Linked DNA regions of Kluyveromyces lactis. The protein of the gene in region 2 binds, or shares a complex with, the protein of the main gene of each other region. Links are inferred from orthologs where the notes say so. Each region holds a gene or a part of one and is shown on either strand. Other genes may lie near its edges. The genes, in order: MTC5, RTC1 and SEA4.

Region 1 (6,429 bases), on a different chromosome or scaffold from region 2:
TCTTTCACTGCACCCAACCAGTCAATCCCTGAGTAAACTCCTTGAGCTGCATTCACAAAGAAGTAATTGATGTGATCGTATCTTTTTGACAAGCTGTAGTGGGCATCAAGAATGCTGATCATGTTGGTAAAATCAACCAGCAGGTAATCATAATCTACAGAGCCAGTCCTATTAATGGTATTGACAAAAGCCTTAATTAAATCAATGCATTCACGAACCCTAGGTAATGTTCTTGATGTCACAACTATCGTGAGGTTGTCCTCTGGCTCGCTTCTCTCAATCAACCGATATACGATATTCAAACCTAAATTACTGTTTGTACCAGTGACCACTGCTACCTTTGACGAAGACATGCTGGTTTTGAAATTATTGGTACTCAATAGCTACTAGTATACGTAAATCAGTGCTAATGGACGGGAACGGTTCCTGTAGCCTGGAATTTTTCGCTTGTGTCGCATCATCATCACCATCTATTTGGTTTTCTAGTTCTTTCAGAATTCCGGAAGGTTTATCATCTCGTTTAAATATCATTAAAACCCAGGAAAGAAGGTGTATCAACGACTGATGGTTAAAAGAAGATGAACGATAAGACACTGCTACATAAGATGCATTTTATATAAGTGGTTCGCTGACATCGAAGTTCTTTATACAGTCGCAACTACACCCAGAGGGGCACTCATCGCCAATTTTCCACCATTTTTCTGCGCAAGTCCTGTGAGTCACGTGCTGACAATTACCGCATACGAACACCAATCTACCGGCTTTGAGGCCACAGTAGCTACAGTTTTGTTGAGTGTGTCCGTGGTTAGATTCAATCCACCTATTCGATACACCTTTGTAAATATCCAATCCCGAATCTTGTTCGATCCCATGCAAGTATTCAGGTTCTGTGTTTAAATTTACATTAAACTTCAACAACTCGGCCCTATCCATAGGCAACCCCCATATATAAAGTATCTCTGCATATTGCGTTCTATATTGTCTGAACTTGGTTTCACATTTCGGATCTACCAACGAAGGTTCCAGACCTTGGTAGGCAAGATCCAAAACATCGTCATGAATTAGTTTGATCTTGATATCGGGAATTGTCGCTTCAGTTTCTACATACCCATTGTTCATATTATTATGGGATTTCCCGTTCTTGTTTCCGTTAGCATGATGATTTTGATGGAAATAATCATCAGATATGATAGAAGAGCCATCGTTCAATGAGGCTTGATTGGTGCCATATCTCATTCTCGCATTTTGTGTACCTGTGTCATTAGAGTAGAACGATCCGTGAGTGGAATGAACATGTGGCGATGGCTCGTATTCATTGTTATAAAATGTAATGATGTTTTCTGATAAAGTAGGCGGAACTAGTTTATAATTTGTTTTCTGATCTGGCCTTCCAAGCGTAGCAAAGATGCAGCTCATCATTGCAAGCATTTGAAGATTTTGGCACTTCTCAAAATACTCGAATAGTCTTTTCACTAAAAGTTTACCACCCAATGAATGCTGGTCCCAATCATAATTGTAGAAATCGTTATCTCCTCTTCCTATTAAAACATTAGAAATCATTCTCCAGCATTGCGCGATATCTTCATAGCCGTAACTTTCCGCAATGCCTGCATTGTACTTCGCAACAAATTCAGGAGTTTCCCGAAATAAAATATACTGTTCAGCTAGCTCTTTTTTGTCGGGAATCAAACTTTTAAAATCTTGAACGACTATAGATGACTTGCTTTTTTTATTTGAATCGGTGGTTTTTCCGGATACACTCGTAGTAGATTTCGTCTCATCACGGAATATGCGTGGCATCATTGGCATCCTAGTCCTTAGTGTGAGATCATTTTTCAATATATCATCCAAGAACTCAGCATAGCTATCATCACTATCATCTGAATCCGAATCTGATGATTGATTTAGTGATTCACTGGCATGTTGTGAGTTTATGGATAGCGCTTCTCTATAAGTTTTTGGCTTTCTTTGTTTTCCCGATACGTTATCCTTCAAAGTTTGTGACGCACTCTGGACATTTTTTGATCTCACAAAACCTCCAATACCAGTTCTACCAACATTGATTATGGCGTGTTGCTTTTTTTCAGTTTTATTCTCAGCTCTAAAGAAGCAAACAAGGGTTCCTTGAGCGGTCCAAACTGCTCCACAACCGTTGGGGACAGGTGTGCTATCAAATTTTGGTTCTGGTGTACTAGAATACAATTGCAAAGAACCATCCCCGACAGCGAATTCAACATCTGATACAGAAGAAATCTCTGTAGGAGCATCGCTATGATCATCAGATGAACCCAAAGATGATCTATCTAAAGAAGTTACATCTTCGAAATCAAAGCTGAAAATTTTATTGTCGTCCTCCATGTCGGAAATATCCAAGTTAACTTCTTCTCCAAGTAGGTACTGTAAACACGGCTCAAGGCAATATCGATTTGCATCGACATATTTTTTGCTGATTTCTCTTAGTCGTTCCATTATCTGAGTTTTTTGATGTTCTTTTAATTCCCTGTTCTCTTCAATCTTGAACGCAGGTTCATTTCCTTTCATGGGGTAGTTTGGCGGGAAGTTAATAATAATACGCATGAAAATGTATTTTTCTGGATCTTCTTCCACCCATGGACCATTTAAAGTAATAATTAACTCTCCTGTCGAAACCGAAATTTTTTCAAAAACAATTCTAGGGAACTTGTGCCCAACGGAAGTGACTTCTTCTCCAAGATTGTTTAAACTCACCTCTTCAAATAGATCATGCGGTGAATCTTCGTTATGCATTCTCACACCCGAAATCCATTGTAGTTGATCTATATTGTTGTCAGCTTTCCATTGGCGTAGTCCGGATTTTGTAACAAAGGTTTCCTTCGGAATTTCTATATTTGTGTACCGGGGATCTACTATATTATTTTCAGGTTCTGATCTAAAAGTGTCGTAATCATAATCTGGTAGCTTCTCCGGCAGCTCTTTGCCACATTCGTAGTGAACTTTGTCGTAAACCATATCGGGTACTGGCCATAGTCTTAAATCGCAATCTTTGGACCAAGTAACCAATTGGAATTCTCTGTCATCAATGATGGTATTTTGACTGTGCCTCGATCTCCATAAGAAGTCCGTGACTCTATCTGTATGCCCCTTGAAAACGTACGTTGGCTGTAGTTTGGTAGTCCTTGACTCAGAATTGCCTGAGTCATGAAAAGAGTTCGCCAAATATACAGAATTATTTCCTCCTATCATCGGCATGATGCAATATCCGTCCCCAAACGGGAGATATCGTCCTCTCCACACAGGAAACTCTGTGGTAATTGTCATCTGTAGTTCATCTTCAACTTTATTATAATCCCAGAACTTTACCGTTCCGTCATTCCCACTTGACATGATTTCGGTTTCGTTGAATGGATTGAAGTCGATGCTATTAACGCTTCCGCTATGACCTTCTAATACAGATAACGGAGATGTACCCTTTCTTACATCCCAAACATACACGATATTCGAGTGCGAGGTTGCTAATACATTGGAATTTTTGTGATTCCATTTGACTTGTGCAGCACCAGATCTCCAGTTACTGGTTCTAAAATAAGGCTTCTTGGGGCTTCTCATATCCCAAGCCAGGGCGTAAGTATCAATTGAACTAGTAGCTAGGATTTCTGGTTGCAACGGGTGGAAATTTATATCTGTAATGGCTCTGAAATGGCCATGTAATACATGCTCCACTGCTTTAGAAGAGCTTCTAGATAGATTCCATACAATTGCTTTTTGATTCGACGTAGATATAACCCAGTGATGCTTGGCCGGATGCGGGCACCACTGCACGTCAGCAACCTCCCAAGACGTGAGATGGTGTAACCATCGAGGCTCTGAGAAAGGATCATCCAAGTCTACCACATAAAGGCCCTTTCGACTGGCTAATACGACATCTCTACCAGATGGATTGATAGAAACAGCATTAAATCCACCATCAACCCGAAGAGAAAGTGATTTCCCGAAGGTTGGTGATGAGTAAGGACCTTCCCCTACGTATTCAGACATTCAATCTCAAAGTGTGGCTTATATCGAAACCTCTAAAAAACACGAACCTTACTAGAATTCAATATACGAATGATGTTTCCTATTGAATTGTGCTTTGTTTCATTATATATTCATGATTCATTTTTTCCTATCAACAGTTAATAATGCTTTAAGGAATATTAACAAATAGTGGATTAGACATACATAAAAAGGGGAGTTAGAAAGCTATTATTAATCATTCGTGACGTTATTTGAAGTTTAAATGTATCTAATGTTTTATCTATTCTTGGGTAACTGCATCAAAGATAGCTTTAAATGGTGGTTTTGCACCTGTCCATTTAGAAAATTGTTCCACACCTTGATGAACCAACATTTCAGCGCCCGGAACGATATTCCAGTTGAACTTATCACGTGCGAGCTTCATGATAGGGGTCACTGAAGGCTTATATGCGGCATCTAACAAGGTTGGTTTGAAGGAGCTATTTGTACCTTTTGCCAAAAGTCTTTCCAATTTGTTTAGTAACTCTGGATCTAAAGGCTTATCAGCTGGAACACAAGAAACAGCAACAGAAACTTGTTCCTTAATTGACTCTGTTTGTTCGGCAGATTCGACGACAACAATCTTATATTCTTCGGAAAATTCGGATTTCAGCTTTTGTAGTTTCTCCGTGGTTCTGTTGAGCATATAAATGGTGTCACAACCAATTTGTTTCAAAGCGTATATAGCAGCTCTTGAAGTACCACCAGCACCGATAATCAGACCTGCAGAACCACTAACAGAACTAGGAACACCATTTGAAACCAAAGAGTTTTTGATACCTAACCAATCAGTATTGTCACCCCTGAATTTGTTCTTTCCTAAAGGAATAACAGTGTTTACAGCGCCAATGGTCTTTGCGGCTTCGCTCAATTCAAACATACTATCAATAATATCTAGTTTTAATGGGATGGTTACAGCTAAGCCACCGAGATCTTCTCTGGTCAAAAGTTCTTTCTTAACTACTTCGATATCTTCAGTTTCGAATTTATCAAAATGATGAGGTAAGCCTAGTAGCTCATACCCAGTGTTGTGCAAGATCGGAGATCTGGAATGTCCAATTGGAGAACCAATAACAAAGAACTTCTTGGCTGGTAATCCACCGATTTGGTGATACAATTGGTTGATTTCAGCTAGTGTCAATTGACCAGGGGCAGCGGCGGATGGTAGTAACTTGGAGGTAACAGGTGTCAAAATATTATTTAGCACCCTGGATAGCTTACCTGTTTCAGTCATATTGATAGCAATTAGTGGCTTCAAAGTATGAGTGGACCTGAATTTTTCCAAAGCCAAATTGTCATCGAAGCTTACTGCTGTGCCAACGAACTTCACAATGTCCACGTCTAAAGAAAGAGCTTGGTTATATCTATTTTCCCATTCAGCATCATCCCATGGGAATTTAGCTGCAAAATCATGATGGGAGCCAATAATCTTTGTGTTTGATTTCTTGTTCAAAACATTGTAGAGTATGTTGTTAGGCAATGTCAACTCTAAATCGATGTATTCAACAGCGTTCTTCAGAGCGACCTTCAACAATGATTCAAGTAAATCATAATCATCATCTTGGAATTTCCCTCCTTGGCTAACTGTTCTCACAGTGAAAACAATAGGTAGCGATTTGGTTGCAGCTCTTAACAAGGAGATTTGTTTGGTGACAAAGTCTGAAGAAAAGGATGATAAATGATCAACTCTTAGTTCTACTGCTTCACAACCATAGGTTATTTCATCCAATTTTGACAAATGATCCGATAGGTCTTCGAAAGTCAAACAGACGAAAGCTGATCTCCTGGAAGGTACAGGAATCTTTTCAGCGCCAAGTACACGACGAATGAAGTTGCTGAACACATGTCTTAAATTCCTGAATTCAATTTCATTGGAGCAATGAGCCGCAAAGAAGGTAAAGTTCGAACATTCATGGTACCACTTTTCTCTTCTTTCCCACACATCGCGAATTTCTTCAATGTAAGCTGGTCTAGTTGGGTCGCTCTTTAGGAAAACGATTGTCTCTTCGATATCACGGTGAAGATGTAGGACGATACCGCCGCTTTCGGCAAACCTCTTCAAAGCCTGTCTTGATTCTGATCTTTCAACAATTCCACCGCCAGAAGATAACACATAGCCCTTGTCACCGTATTTGTCTACCGCTTCCTGGAATATCCTAGTTTCTTCCTTTCTGAACTCATCCCATCCAGATTCTGCTACAAAGTCTTTCACAGTACCTTTGCCGTACTGTCTTTCAAATTCCTCATCTAAATCAAGAAGCCTGTAACCCAAGGACTCAGCACACCACTTGCTGACAGTACTTTTACCAGCCGCTCTCATTCCTATAATGACTACACTTTTTTTAACTTCAGATGATTTTGTTGTTGAAGGTTCAGCGCCGTCAAGTCTTGCACCCA
Region 2 (6,536 bases):
CGTAAGGACAGTTTTTCATCAACTCCGCTGCAATCTCAAATAGCTCGTACCGGTGCAATAATTCGGTAAATTCCGCTATAGAATTCTTAACTGTCTCTGTATCAACAAGTTGAAACATATCTTGAAATAATAACAAAATTGCCATCGTTAGTAGGATATTTCCTGAAGCAACACTCTGTTCGTATAATTGATGAATTAATCGCCTTGATGACCAAGGTGGGGTAATAGTATTTTCCAGTTTTTTAGTTTCATTCATAAGAGCAGTAATACCAGACATTTGAGTTGTAGTTTTTGCAACGCTCCCGTTCCATGATTTTTGAGTAGCAAATTCAGATTCCAATATATCTGATACTTCAGTTGCGCTTTTCAATTTATTATGATTCGCGTTTTGCGATTTCTTGCTATTCAAAAATGTGGCAGCCGAAGAGCTAAAGCTTGGCATGGAAGATTTTTTGCTACCAGTACTTTCCCTATCAGCATCAACATTTGACGATCCTGGAGAACGTAATTGTGACATGAAGGAGTCTATAAAAGATGTCCGCGGCCGACGTGGCTGGTGATGGTTTTCCGGATTTGAAGGAATTTCGCTTTGTGAGGAAACATGAGAAGGACTCGGCATGAGAGCGCTAGGCCCTGATTCCCTTCTTGGGATATTAATGAATTGTTTATTGTTTTCATCTTCTTCGAACGCCCTTTTTGTAAGTTCCTCTCTTTCTTCTCCTTCTTCCTCTTCATCAATTGCTAGTTCTGCTCTATCTCCATGAGATTGACGCAGCTTTCTAATTTCGATGATATCGTTCTGTAACGAATTTTGAATCGAGTCAGCCCTCGATATAGTCGTAGTTTCTTTTGAACCTTGAAGTTGAGCCTTTAAATGTGATACTGGAGGAGTTTGGGTTAGATGAGTGGGTTCGTTGAAAGAATGTCTATTATTTGTATTTACCGAGGAGCTCAGATCCGTAGCACTATATGAACTGTAGCCACTAGCAACAGATGCTTGCCTTGCCTCTTTCAAGCTAGTAAAACTGTCATTTTTTTTCCAAGGTTGGTCAATGGACGATTGATCGTTGACTTCTTGGTCAGCTGTCACGTCAACAGCCATTGACTCGGTTAGGACTTTCAAGTCCCATAATAATGAATCCCGCATTAGAAGCCAAATTTTGTAGTTTGAAAAGTCCTCAAGCATGATATAAATTTCAGCGTTCTTATCACATAGAGTTATCAGTTCGATGAGGTTTTTGGTTTTTACCTGGTTTGAAGAGTTGATGCAGGAACTGTTCTCATCCTGATTGGTTTCAGCTTTATGATTCGTAGCTGATTTTTCGATATTAGCACTTTTGTCAGAAACTGGTGTTTTAAGCTCTGTGCCTTTCGATATGACTTCGTCAGAGTCGTGAGATTTCGTATATTTGATCAAATGAGTCCAAGTATTATTTTCAGATAACCCCAACTTTTCCATCAAATTCGTTTTAGAATCCACTGAGCCATGTGTGCTCGATGAATCAAGCTCTCGGCCGTTGTCTTTTGTTTCAATACTGTTATATTTATACGAAAACTTCAATTCCCGTGCTAAAAACTTGAAAACTTCAGTTGGAGATGACTTTAATTCTAATAAAGCTGCACTTTCGACCTTTCTGTTAAATTCTGCGAGCCTAGTGTTCCGTATTGTGTTCAAAATATGCGGAAAGTCTAATCCTATCAAATATGGAGATTGTAGAAAGGAATCATTAACCGCATGTAATGCCGATTCCGATCCTGACACGATTGAGTTATGATGAGGGGACGAATACGGATTGGTCCACGGCGAGCTGTTAACCGAAGGCGAAAATTTGCTGTTAACGGATTGTGCATGCTTTGACATAGTTGACCTTTCACCTAATACGTTGCCCTGGTGAAGTTGAGACATGCCAAGTGTCGGGTTTTTTGAGAAACTTGCGGCACTGCTACTTGTGTTGCTTGTAATGTTAGGATTATTTCCTCCAGTAAAACTGTTAGCAGTTGCACTACTCATTCTGTGTGTGAAAGGCATCTTGCGATTCTCTCCACTACCTGGTGTCAAAACTGTCTCTTCTTGAGACAAATACCCACCTGGTTTTTGGTCCAAAAACAGAATACCATCGCCATCCAAATCTCTCCATTTTATTGTGTTTTTCGGCAAATTATCAAGTACAGTCGGTTCATGAGAGATATCCCACCCAGTAACGGTATTTTGCTTGTCTATATTGAATATCGTGTCGTCATCCCACCAGACAAAACCAACAGAAGGTGCACTGGAAGCAATAACGTTTTTAGGAATATATTTTCTTGCTAGCGAATAAACAGATACATCCGAATCTTCGCCCATGGATGAAGTCCCAATCAATGAATTGAATACATTCGTCTCATATTTTGGACGAAACTTAAGTTTATTCATGGAACGAGCGGTATTTATTGTGAGCTCAGGAAATGCAAGGGTGTTGGATAGCCCCAAGGGGTATGATGATGATAAATTATGCGTTGCTGGATTACTTGAATTGAGGTTGGTACTACTAATGTTACCAACTTGATTAGATTTGTCGCCTACATACCACAAGCAACATTTTCCGTCTCTTCCACCACTAATAATGTAGTCCTGATGCGGATGCCAATTCAAACATAAGGCGGGACCAGAATGTGCATTAATCTTTTTTTCAGCTTGGTTTGGTTGTCTCAAATCAAACTTCAATAATAATCCAGAGTCATGCACACTGGCAAATTTGAAATGTCTGTTTGAAAGACCATTGGTATCATTAGAAAACTCGTAAGAAGGCATCCATTTTACGTCTCTAATGGAATCAGACCCGGTGTTGATACTTACATCACTCCTAGTGGTGGAGATTTTAGGAGATCTCAAATCCCAAATCTTTATGCATCCATCTTGTCCACCGCTAATTAATAAGCTTGTCTGCACCATATTGAAATCCACACTATTGATAGATCTTGTATGTTCTGAGAGAGATGTTACAACTGGATTGTCTATCGCTGATGTCTTATTAATATCGTAAATCGCAACAGACGTTGAAGTACCACAAATTGCTACATAGTTTTTGTGATTGTAAAAGCCAGCTTTAACATCAGATATGGTTGAAATTTTTTTTGTTGTTCTCCGTAGTGTCGATGAAGTGTTCTTCGTGATCCCAGTATTTGTCTTCGCTGTCTGTAAGAAATCATGTACATTAGTTATCGTCTTAGAATCTTCATCGAAAGTGTAAATACCTAAATGGCTTTTTCCTGCTATTATCAAGGATCTGCTCTCCGGTGAATTGATTTTATCTATACTTGAGACTTCCTTTCCGATACTCAGAGAGTATTTAGCGCCGTGGAAAGTTCTACGTTTGTCAAATGAACTTTCAGAAGGTCTCCATCTTGCATTTGATTCTTCTTCATTAAGAGAGCTCTCTGGTCCAACATTTCCCGTACCATCAAAACTGAAGGGAGTGCGGCTATCTGGTTTATACTTAGGTGATATCCTAAAAGGTGAAGTTCCAAAACCTGTGTTGTACTGTCGATGAAAAGAGTATCGTGAACTTGACGACTGATATTTCAGAGAGGGAGGATTTTCTGGTTGCTGCCCTTGAGAAGACGAAGTAGCTCTGTTTGAACCTCTTTTAAACATCGTTGAGCAACAATACTCAGTGCTCTCGATCACCGGTTTATTTGGCTTACAACCAATTGCTGGATTTTTGAATCATAGTATGTGAGTGCTTTCATATTTTCAATTACATATTGCCATCTCTTCCTTTTTTTCTTGTTGAGTAAATATATGAGGAATCAGGAATCATCTTCGGTGATTGATAAGTGAGAGCCCGATAAAACAACACAAGAGTAAATAGAAGTATTAAGATATCACAGGGCTGGGAGACAGAAATGCCTTGTTATTAAAATTCTTCTGAAATAATTACAAATTTAATGCCATTGAGACACTTGTAAAATGATACGTAATGAGAAAGTTAATAGGTTTTACACAGTGAAATTATATGAAGGAGAGCGATTCAAGCGCACACTCGAACAGAGAAATCGGGAGGCTTCAGTAGATTATGTGAACAGTTGAGCTCATTGTAAATTTCTTTGTTTGTAGAAGTATACCTGTATGGTCCATTGCCTATTGCTTGTCAATAGAATACAATGCGTCAACCTGTTCAGGAGTTTTGTTCTTAGTTTCCTTCAATAAGAAAGTGAAGAACCAGAATGAGACAAATAGACAACCAGCAAAAACGAACCCAAACTTGAAGCCTATCTTATCAGTGACATATGGTGTGCATAAAGAAATGAAGAAGTTGCAAAGCCAATTGATTGAGGTACACACTGCCATGGATATCGCTTTTGTCCTGCTTGGAAACAACTCCGAAATGACGACAAAGGACACAGGTCCCGATGTGCATGCAAAGAACATGATGTAAACACACGTGAAGGTAACCATAATCGCACCAGAGTTTTGAGGCGACTTATTAAGTGCGAACGATCCGACTGACGCATACACGGACATACAGGTAAACATACCCGCGGAACCAAGAATTAAGCATGCTTTTCTGCCTAACTTTTCAACTAAATAAATACCGAAAAAGGTAGATATGAAGTTGACAGAAGACAATAAAATCGACGTTAAGTATGGGTCTTCAATTCCCACAGAGTTGAAAAGTGTTGTACCATAATAGAAGAAGTAATTTGCACCGGATAGCTGTTGAAACGCCATCACCATAATACCAATAAATAGTCTAAAACCTAATCTTGGTTGACCGAGTATGAATTCAAACCTGCTGTTCTTCATATCATTGTGAGTAGATACCTCCGCGTCAGCTGATTCCATCATCTTCCTAATATGACTATCCACAATTGGATCATCTACGTCCAAATTGTTCATATGGGCAAAAGCTGCCTTAGCTTTGAGAGCGCTTCCTAACCTCTTGGTAAGAAAAACTGGTGATTCAGGCATAAAATGAACACCTAGCGCGACGATAGCGGCCCAGACGTTTCCTAATCCTACAGGGATCTTCCATGTGGCATTATCTGTTTCGTGTAAAGTGGATCTGCAACAATAGTTGATGACATTTCCGAGCAAAATTCCAAGAGTGATCATTAACTGGTAGAGCACAACCATGGCACCACGAATGTTGATGGGAGCAGATTCGGCTATAAACATTGGTATCATCACCGCAGTAGCACCAACACCAAGTCCTGAAATGAACCTTGCGAAGAAGAAATACCACCAAGAGGAGCCACATGTCCAGCCAATCAATGTTCCCAACGAATAGATAGTGATTGCAGCATAAATACCTGGTTTTCTTCCATTAATATCAGCAATCTTCACTAGAAATAATCCACCAAGTGCGCAACTGATATTGAAAATGGAAACGATTAATCCAATAAGAAGTTTTGGAAAGTAGTGTGTATTACTCGAAGAATCAAAGTTGGTACCAAAAAAGTTTTGAAATGATACCATGTTTGTAATCCCACCAATTGTGCCAACATCCCAGCCAAAGATAAACCCTGCAAAAGAAGTAGCCAGACACAATAATATTGGTTTCAACGGTAACTTTTTCTGTTCAATTCCACCTGACTTAGTGTCATTCTGAGATAACTGACTGGTTAATGATCCAATGGCTGAGTAATTTGTCAAAGATACCATTTCCTTTGTGACTACCTCAATTGCTTTTTCAGCAGTTTCAAATGATTCTGTATCTAAGGACATTTCAATTGTTGATGTATGACAGCTAGATCCTTGAAGTTTTGTTATCGACACTGGGTGATTTTGTAAGTTTAAACTTATTAGGCGTTTCTAAATGAGACCTTTGATCATTCTTGAAGACGAGAATACGTTATTCAAGTTTCAAGTGTTCAAGACAGTGTACTTTGTCCTGTATTTATACAAAATTTTCGTACATTGAAAAGTTTCCAAAAGTCATAAATACTGAGTTCCAATAGAGATTTCACATCTAGAGTTTCTAACTCGAATTCCCACATTCAACCTCACTTTATCGAGGATTATTTCCTTTTGGTATCATGAATTTTTTTTTTTGTATGCCGACTTGCGTCACATTTCATACATTACAACTGACACAATAAAAAAAAGTTTCATTTCAGAGAAACCTCGTACAGATGCTAGAGTTTCCTAAACGTCGATCATATTGGTGTTATGAAGTCTTCTGTATCAAGATCATTAGGCTGCCGAAGAGCTCTATGGACGAGAGCGTCCAGTTTTTTACCTTAGAAAAAAAAAATAACAACACTGAAAGTACAAGAATTCGAAGGTAATCTATCAACCAATTGGTACTCGCATTGAAAACTACCGTTAATCAGCTCACGATAACGTAATATTGATCAGATCTGTTCTAACTGGGTATGACTTGAACGGGTAGATTGTGCGTCTGAGTTTGGCTTTGATGATTTTTCTTCCGTGGCGCTATAGTTCACTTTCCAACTCTTAGCATCCTTGATTTTTTCTGCAGCATATTCATCCAACCCTGATTTATTGCATTCTTGATAGTAGTTCTGGATGTTGGCTTTCAAGTAATCGTTCC
Region 3 (6,281 bases), about 1.3 Mb from region 2:
GTTTCATACAATAGTAATATCTTTTTATGCTCAGTTCAGAGTGTTCATACGTTAGATGGCTAGTTGGTGCCTTATAAGTTCATGAAATAGAATCAACGCACCACTTTGACAGGATCTGATCTGAAACAATTTCAAGCTGTGTTCGCCCAGAATACCAATATTTTAAGATCCCAAACCACTGAGAAAAAAATGTTTGTAAGAGAAATATTCAACGAAAAAAAAAGTCCCAACTAAACTGACTTAATAAACCGTTGTTTATAGTCGTTCTTTCCTTTAGTTTTTGGTATCCTTAAAGATATTGTTGAGATCAAAAAAAACCATATATTTGTTTGTATCTGGATAGATCAAACTTTTTATTTTCTTAGTTTCGCCACATGATTTCCTGAAATAGAGCTCACGCATTTCAACTGATCGGGGAATCTTAACTAGTCACGTGAAGAGGCTTGCGCTCATGCGAATGACGGTGGGCAATGATGGAAAAGATGGCTTTAAGTTCCATCGCTGAACCACGGTCCATCCTATAACTCGATGAATATGCTCGGGGAAGTTTTCCAAGTATGGTACTGCGTTGCTAGTATCATTATTTTGTGGATGCGTAATGATTCATTCTGAAAGCAACGTTCAGCCGCTTGATATCTGCATATGAGATATTTGTATGTACTAATAGTGGGAGAAATGAGTTTTTGGCGAGGTTAAGGATTAAAGAGATTATATACGCTGAATAACAAGTTTAATGATTTATCCTAGAGCGTTTAGGTCCGAAATATTGGTAGAGTGTTTCATTGATGGCATAAACACGAACACCCAGGAACAGGACAAATTGAATGTCTTTCAAACCATTCCTCTGCATGACCGGCATGCATACCATGATTACACTTGAGACAGAAACTGAACCATTCGTTCATTTTCAAACGCTTTCTTTCCTTGACCTCGTTAATTTTCGCGTCGTCATCGATTCGTACTTCACATGAGTTGGTGGTGCCATTGATGACTATGGGGAGATTTGAAGTACCCAATGGCAAGAGACAAATAGCACATCTTGGGAAAGGCGTGCCACAATGTGGACATGAATGTTTCTGTTGGGGGACATCACCGTTTGTATTATTGAGGCCGAATTTCTTTCCTGCATTTAAGTTTTGATTAGCATGTCTTGGTAGGGATGCATTAGAAGACACATCAATGGGTCTGTTGATATTCTTCTTACATTTGGAACATTGTAAATACATTTGACGAGGTTTTAACTTCGCTGTAATTCGACCATCACTAGTCCTAGATAATTTTGTCTTGAGCACATCGAACTTGGCCCTCATAGTGAAAAATTCCCAGGAATTTAACATATGGCGATATGTTTCAACCCATTCATCAACTCTTGGGTCCATGAAGTATCTTGGGGAGCCGAAAACTGAAATTAGTGCAGCAGTTTGAATATCACTAGTCTTTCCAACGTACGATTGTAGAAGATCAATACCATTAGGCGTTATACCAGTCAAGATCAATCCTTCTAGTTCACCATTTTCAATAACAGTAGTAGCAGTTTTTTCTAAAAATCTGGTTAGATCTGTGTCATTTAGAAATCTAAGAGCAACACCAAGCCTTTCCCTTAGAGAGATAGCGCTCTCATACAGGATATCCCACCAATCATTGTCTGCAATGAATGCAAAAATGACTCTCAAATAGGGATCATCAAGCTCAGCAGCCATTTTTCTACATTGCTGTCTCCATGCATTGTCACCTGGCTTTTCACTATAAGCTTGATAACCTGCAATGGCCGCAGCAATGAGTCTAAGACGTTCTTTATTTGCAGATCCCAAAATAGATATAGCTTTCTGAACGTCACCGAAGAAGACAGCCCAGGCAGCAGCTTTCTCATAGTGATTTTGAGCTATTAGTGATTTATATTTTTCTTCGTAATCTGAAGGAGACAAATCCCAGCCACTAATAATCATACAGAGTCTTCTCTGAATGGCCTTTTTTGATGACATTTCGGAATTTAAACTGGAAACATTCCCAATTTTGTTTTTACTCTTGCTTCTCATCTTAATGATCTTCTCCAATTCCTTGTTTAACTGCTTTTCTGTGAGCATTCCTCCAGATCTATAACGATTCTGATTGGAGAGACCTTCAAGACCATTCCATATCCCTAAAACGCCTTCGTAGCCTAAATCTAAGTCTCCTGAAACCATTGTTCCGTCAGCTATGGATGCCTTCGCTATCGCCATCCATCTCCAAGTATTGCGAATGTAGATATTGTTATTGAAGTTATCGGATTTATCCATCATTTCGACAGTTTTCATTGGATCAAGACCATATCCCAGACTCGCGCGTTTACGCATTATAAAACTTATATCATTCTGTAACAGCTTCTCTGCCTCGATGTAAAACTCTTTAACGTCTTCAGAATCACTCAAGTAATCGCCGTCATCTTCCATACTTCCGGATGATTTTTTTTCATCCAGAGTTAATATCTTCAAGTCATCTCCTGTATCCAGGTCTTCGAAAGACAAGTTTTTTAGCCCGGTATCTAAATTTTCCAGCAATGAAACTTCATCCTCACCTGTTATTCTCAATTCGTTGACATCATTGTTTTGATCTGAGATAGACATTATGCTATTGTAGTTATTGATTTTCGATTGTGAAAATCCTTGTTCGACATTCATCCGATAGATAGTTCCGGATTGTCTCATGCATAGAAGACTTGTTCTGCCAGTACTCTTGGGTATATAATCGAAGGTAACAACACGATCAAAAGTCGTTTTAATGTCATTCACCGTGGAAACGAACAAGGAATCATTTAGTTCGTTATTCGACTCTAAATCTGGTACGTTGGCCAATCTCCAGCGTTTAATTGTAGTGCCTGCGTGTAATGTCGAAAACTCTCCACTTCTCAATGGAGACCATCTGAAACATGAATTCATATATTTTCTAGAAGCTGCACCATGACCAACAAGTTTGTCAAATTTAAGTAATGGTTGTGCCTCCAAAAACTCAGTGTCTTCAGAGTTACTTGCTAGCTTTCTTCTATCCCAAAAGGCCAACGTACCATCGTCAGCATATGTTGAGAATTGCCAAGGGTTAAAAGGATTTATCTTGATGTCATATGAGACACGAGTTGGATGCTGGTATATAGGATTAGGAGCTCTAAGGTCAATTTCTTTCAAGAGTTTTGAACTTGCAGCTAAGATGCTGGTATCGTCGACAAATTTCAATGACACGATACTTTCGTTCAAACAATATGAAAAAGATGGTGTGATAACATTTGATTCCGTGCTTTGGTAGTTTACATCCCACACCTGTACAGAGGCATCATGCTTATTGCGATCTAAACCCATGGCTATTAGGCCATTTGTATTTATACTCAAACTGTTGATAGTTCGCTGGTGCTTTGCTCGTACTCGTAGATCGAACGGCTCGTATGCATCGTCCGTATCCAAAATATTAAATAACCGTACAACACCGCTTTTCTCACCGACACCTACTATACCTTCATCTGTATTAGAGTAATCTAGACATGTTATATTTCCAAAGTCCTTTACTGTATTCACCTTAACGATGGACTCGTCTGTCTCCACATCCAGCTTCACTCGGTAATGAGAAACTTCATCTCTTGTAGGATTAACAGACAAAAAATCCAACCCTTCCACATTTGGCCAACAAGGAACGCGTTTAATCAAGCCCATGAAGTAATACTGGTGGATTGGCCTCGACAGATGCTTTACTACATTGAATACCGTAATATTATTTGATGCATCTTATCACTCATTCTGAAGTTATCTTGAAATAATTTACCGTATATAGTTTTATTACCCGGATATATGTACATAGGAACAGGAGAGTTAAGTACTGAGTGAACGAAAACTTGATGGATAATTCAGTCACGTAGTAGTCCTTTCAATTGTCTTTCCTGTTTGATCGATAAATCTTCAACATCAGCTAGTCCTTCGCGTGCAAGTATTTTCCGGCCCTTCCAATTAACCTCTTCTACTTGATGTGTTCTCTCATCTATATCGAAATCGTCATGTAATAAAGTATGTACATCTAACTCATCAATCTTAGATAAAAGTTTGTTAAGATCGTTGATGAGCTTAGATCCCATTATTACCAGTGATCTCGGTGACCTCTCATTGGATGTTATTTTCACTATATTTCCAACAAATTCATCCTTGAATTCTTGGACAGATAAGTATTCATCATTTTCAAGCCTGGAGCTAATGTAAGGTATGACCTTGAAATTTGAAGATGATTCGAGGTCTGCAAAAGATTTAAAAGATAAAGTCTTTGTGAGATTGTTCCACACAACATCCTTCAATATATACCTTATCGGATGGAACGCAATGTCGTTTATGATCCTTTGGTTTCTTACCCTTTCAACATTACATTCTTGTTTAGCCACCAAAGATGATGCAAGACCTTCCAATGAATTGAGGTCTCTCAAAAGAACTTCTGAGAATACGATTCTGTCATTTAGCTCTTCGGTATCTAGAGTATTCAAAGAAGATGGGCTGAACTTTCTTACCAAAGGAGCGCCTCTTTTGAGTTCTCTTTTCATTGTCCAGTACTTGCATATATCCAACGAAATTTGCTCGGAATTTGGAACATGAAATCTGTTTAAAACTCTCATTGTAATATCTGCGAAGGCTTGAGGTGCAATTAAAGTTCCCCTACTGGTTTTCCATTTATTCTTAATGGTTTTCTTGGCAGATTGCTTGTTTTCTTCCACGGCACTGTCTTGTAGCACCTTGTGATGATTAATGTGATTAAAATAATCCCTAGTTTTACGAATTCCGTCTTCACAGCTACTCCAGCCGTTAGGAGAATGTTTGTGACAAAAACTTTCCAGGAAAGCACCTGTGGAAAAGTTTTTTGAGGCAGCCTCTTGAACTGTACATCCATTGAAGTTCATGTATAATCCAGCTCTTTTAGCGCACGTAGTGTGATACGCTGCAAAACAGTTCTTATTCGAGCATTGGATGCAAGCACCGACCTCTTGTTTGCAAATATAACATGTGAGCTTCCATCGACTTTTCGGGATATTCTCTATTCCTCCAATCGGCTCCATATAGTGTAGATTTCCGAAATAAAGCTCTGGTATCCAAATTCCACATAACACATGGCCCCACGATCCGTTATCCGTTTGTTTGAAAGCTCCAGTGGTACTGGGACAAAAGAGACACTCGAGCTTTCTATTTTTGGATATCATGCATCTTCGGCAAAGCCACTGACCTTCTGGAATGAAAACTACACCATAGCATTCCTGATGTACGGCGATATCGCAACCATCGCAAAATACTATCGCATTCGAATTATCACATTCTATGCCTCCACATACTGCACACGGTTGATCCATTGGGTATCCAGTACCGTCGTCTGATCCGTATAACTCATGATGCTTCCAGGCAGCATGAGATTCATGCGTATTATTAGTAGCACTAGGTGATACTCTTGGTGGAATTTTCTTCTCTAAATGGAAAGCTTCGTTCTCTAATATCGTAATAACTATTTCGAAAACTTCGTGTGATAACTTATGCTTAGAATTTGTCAGTGCCGTATTTAAGTGCCGAAGGAATAAGTCATCTTGCTCATCCATATCATACTCTACCTTAAAATTAACCTGGTATGGCGAAACATCAGCAAAAAACTCATTGCTATGCTTCATCAATAGATCAGTCTTCTTACAGTATGACTTTTGATCTAATCCGCAAGTACGATCTGCATGAGATCTGTATCCGTATTTTACCAACTGTTTATTAACCTTGCCATGAGGATTTAGCTGTGATATCCGAATCTTACAGCGCTTGAACTCTGCGTTCTTGATTTGAGGTCCTAGCATTTCGATTGTTATGCTATCGTTTACGATCAATTGTTTCCATGACTTCAAATGTTCTCGCAAATTATCGTCAGGATACACTTCTTCTTCATCGTGGCGATGACGATCATTCAACTCATCATGATTATTTTTCCCAAAAAGGACAAGGTCATTTACGTCTAAATCCGGATAGAAATGCTTAAAACTAACTTCTTCTCGAAGCCTAACGCCGTCCTCTTGAGTTTGCATTAGTTTATCCCAACTATATTACAGCCTATCGTATCCAAAATGAGCTTCTTCGGTGAAAAGAGGCATGTCATCACATCTAATTGGATCGTTTTCAACATATAGGCCGATTCATTTATCTTTTTTCTTTGTTATGGTTTTCGGAGTATATATCACGTGATATGATTGAATGTTAATTTGACTTAAGAACTGACTCTGCAAGCGTCCGTAGATATGATCGACACTCATTGAA

Evidence for each region.
Region 1: the proteins of RTC1 (region 2) and MTC5 are in contact, whole or in part, in a cryo-EM structure (PDB 8ADL), measured with the Saccharomyces cerevisiae proteins. The link is inferred for Kluyveromyces lactis from reciprocal best matches to the Saccharomyces cerevisiae genes RTC1 and MTC5. Residues at the interface, in NP_014503.2 of Saccharomyces cerevisiae: Asp548, Cys659, Ile661, Leu663, Ile668, Phe669, Ile672, Arg673, Lys676, Ile677, Asp866, Leu867, Thr868, Lys871, Ile872, Ile874, Leu875, Asp878, Ser879, Trp882, Lys885, Trp886, Ile1154, Ala1155, Pro1157, Pro1158, Trp1159, Lys1163, Leu1164, Gln1167; in NP_010413.3 of Saccharomyces cerevisiae: Asp818, Glu819, His822, Cys823, Gln825, Ile826, Asp829, Met830, Ile832, Asp833, Gln834, Asp838, Tyr840, Thr841, Trp844, Asn845, His847, Met849, Gly850, Trp853, Phe854, Glu857, Ala858, Tyr861, Phe862, Arg864, Pro995, Ile997, Val999, Leu1001.
Region 3: the proteins of RTC1 (region 2) and SEA4 are in contact, whole or in part, in a cryo-EM structure (PDB 8ADL), measured with the Saccharomyces cerevisiae proteins. The link is inferred for Kluyveromyces lactis from reciprocal best matches to the Saccharomyces cerevisiae genes RTC1 and SEA4. Residues at the interface, in NP_014503.2 of Saccharomyces cerevisiae: Arg705, His1212, Glu1215, Phe1217, Gly1218, Ala1221, Asp1222, Leu1224, Lys1225, Met1233, Asp1238, Gln1239, Ser1240, Ser1241, Ile1242, Arg1243, Leu1244, Phe1245, Cys1246, Glu1247, Leu1252, Phe1278, Gly1279, Tyr1280, Trp1281, Thr1291, Ser1292, Val1294, Leu1295, Cys1296; in NP_009446.2 of Saccharomyces cerevisiae: Lys842, Glu845, Phe847, Ser848, Arg850, Ala851, Arg852, Asp854, Val855, Ser858, Arg862, Leu868, Ile872, Lys873, Pro874, Arg875, Gln876, Ile877, Tyr878, Ile879, Gln880, Gln882, Gln886, Asn887, Tyr941, Phe950, Pro951, Arg952, Cys953, Ala954.

The regions. Positions count from the first base shown.
Region 1 is NC_006042.1:1,824,413-1,830,841, reverse strand, and holds MTC5 (Mtc5p), read right to left. Parts: upstream 4,015-6,429; coding exon 613-4,014; downstream 1-612. Other genes in the region: ERG27 (3-keto-steroid reductase), read right to left, coding at 1-353; ARO1 (pentafunctional protein ARO1p), read right to left, coding at 4,274-6,429. UniProt on the Saccharomyces cerevisiae protein: Component of the SEA complex which coats the vacuolar membrane and is involved in intracellular trafficking, autophagy, response to nitrogen starvation, and amino acid biogenesis. May be involved in telomere capping.
Region 2 is NC_006041.1:1,869,325-1,875,860, reverse strand, and holds the start of RTC1 (Rtc1p), read right to left. Parts: upstream 3,635-6,536; coding exon 1-3,634. Other genes in the region: KLLA0_E20945g (sugar porter family MFS transporter), read right to left, coding at 4,121-5,707; KLLA0_E20923g (uncharacterized protein), read right to left, coding at 6,337-6,536. UniProt on the Saccharomyces cerevisiae protein: Component of the SEA complex which coats the vacuolar membrane and is involved in intracellular trafficking, autophagy, response to nitrogen starvation, and amino acid biogenesis. May be involved in a process influencing telomere capping.
Region 3 is NC_006041.1:581,156-587,436, forward strand, and holds SEA4 (Sea4p), read right to left. Parts: upstream 3,678-6,281; coding exon 780-3,677; downstream 1-779. Other genes in the region: NTO1 (Nto1p), read right to left, coding at 3,869-6,052. UniProt on the Saccharomyces cerevisiae protein: Component of the SEA complex which coats the vacuolar membrane and is involved in intracellular trafficking, autophagy, response to nitrogen starvation, and amino acid biogenesis.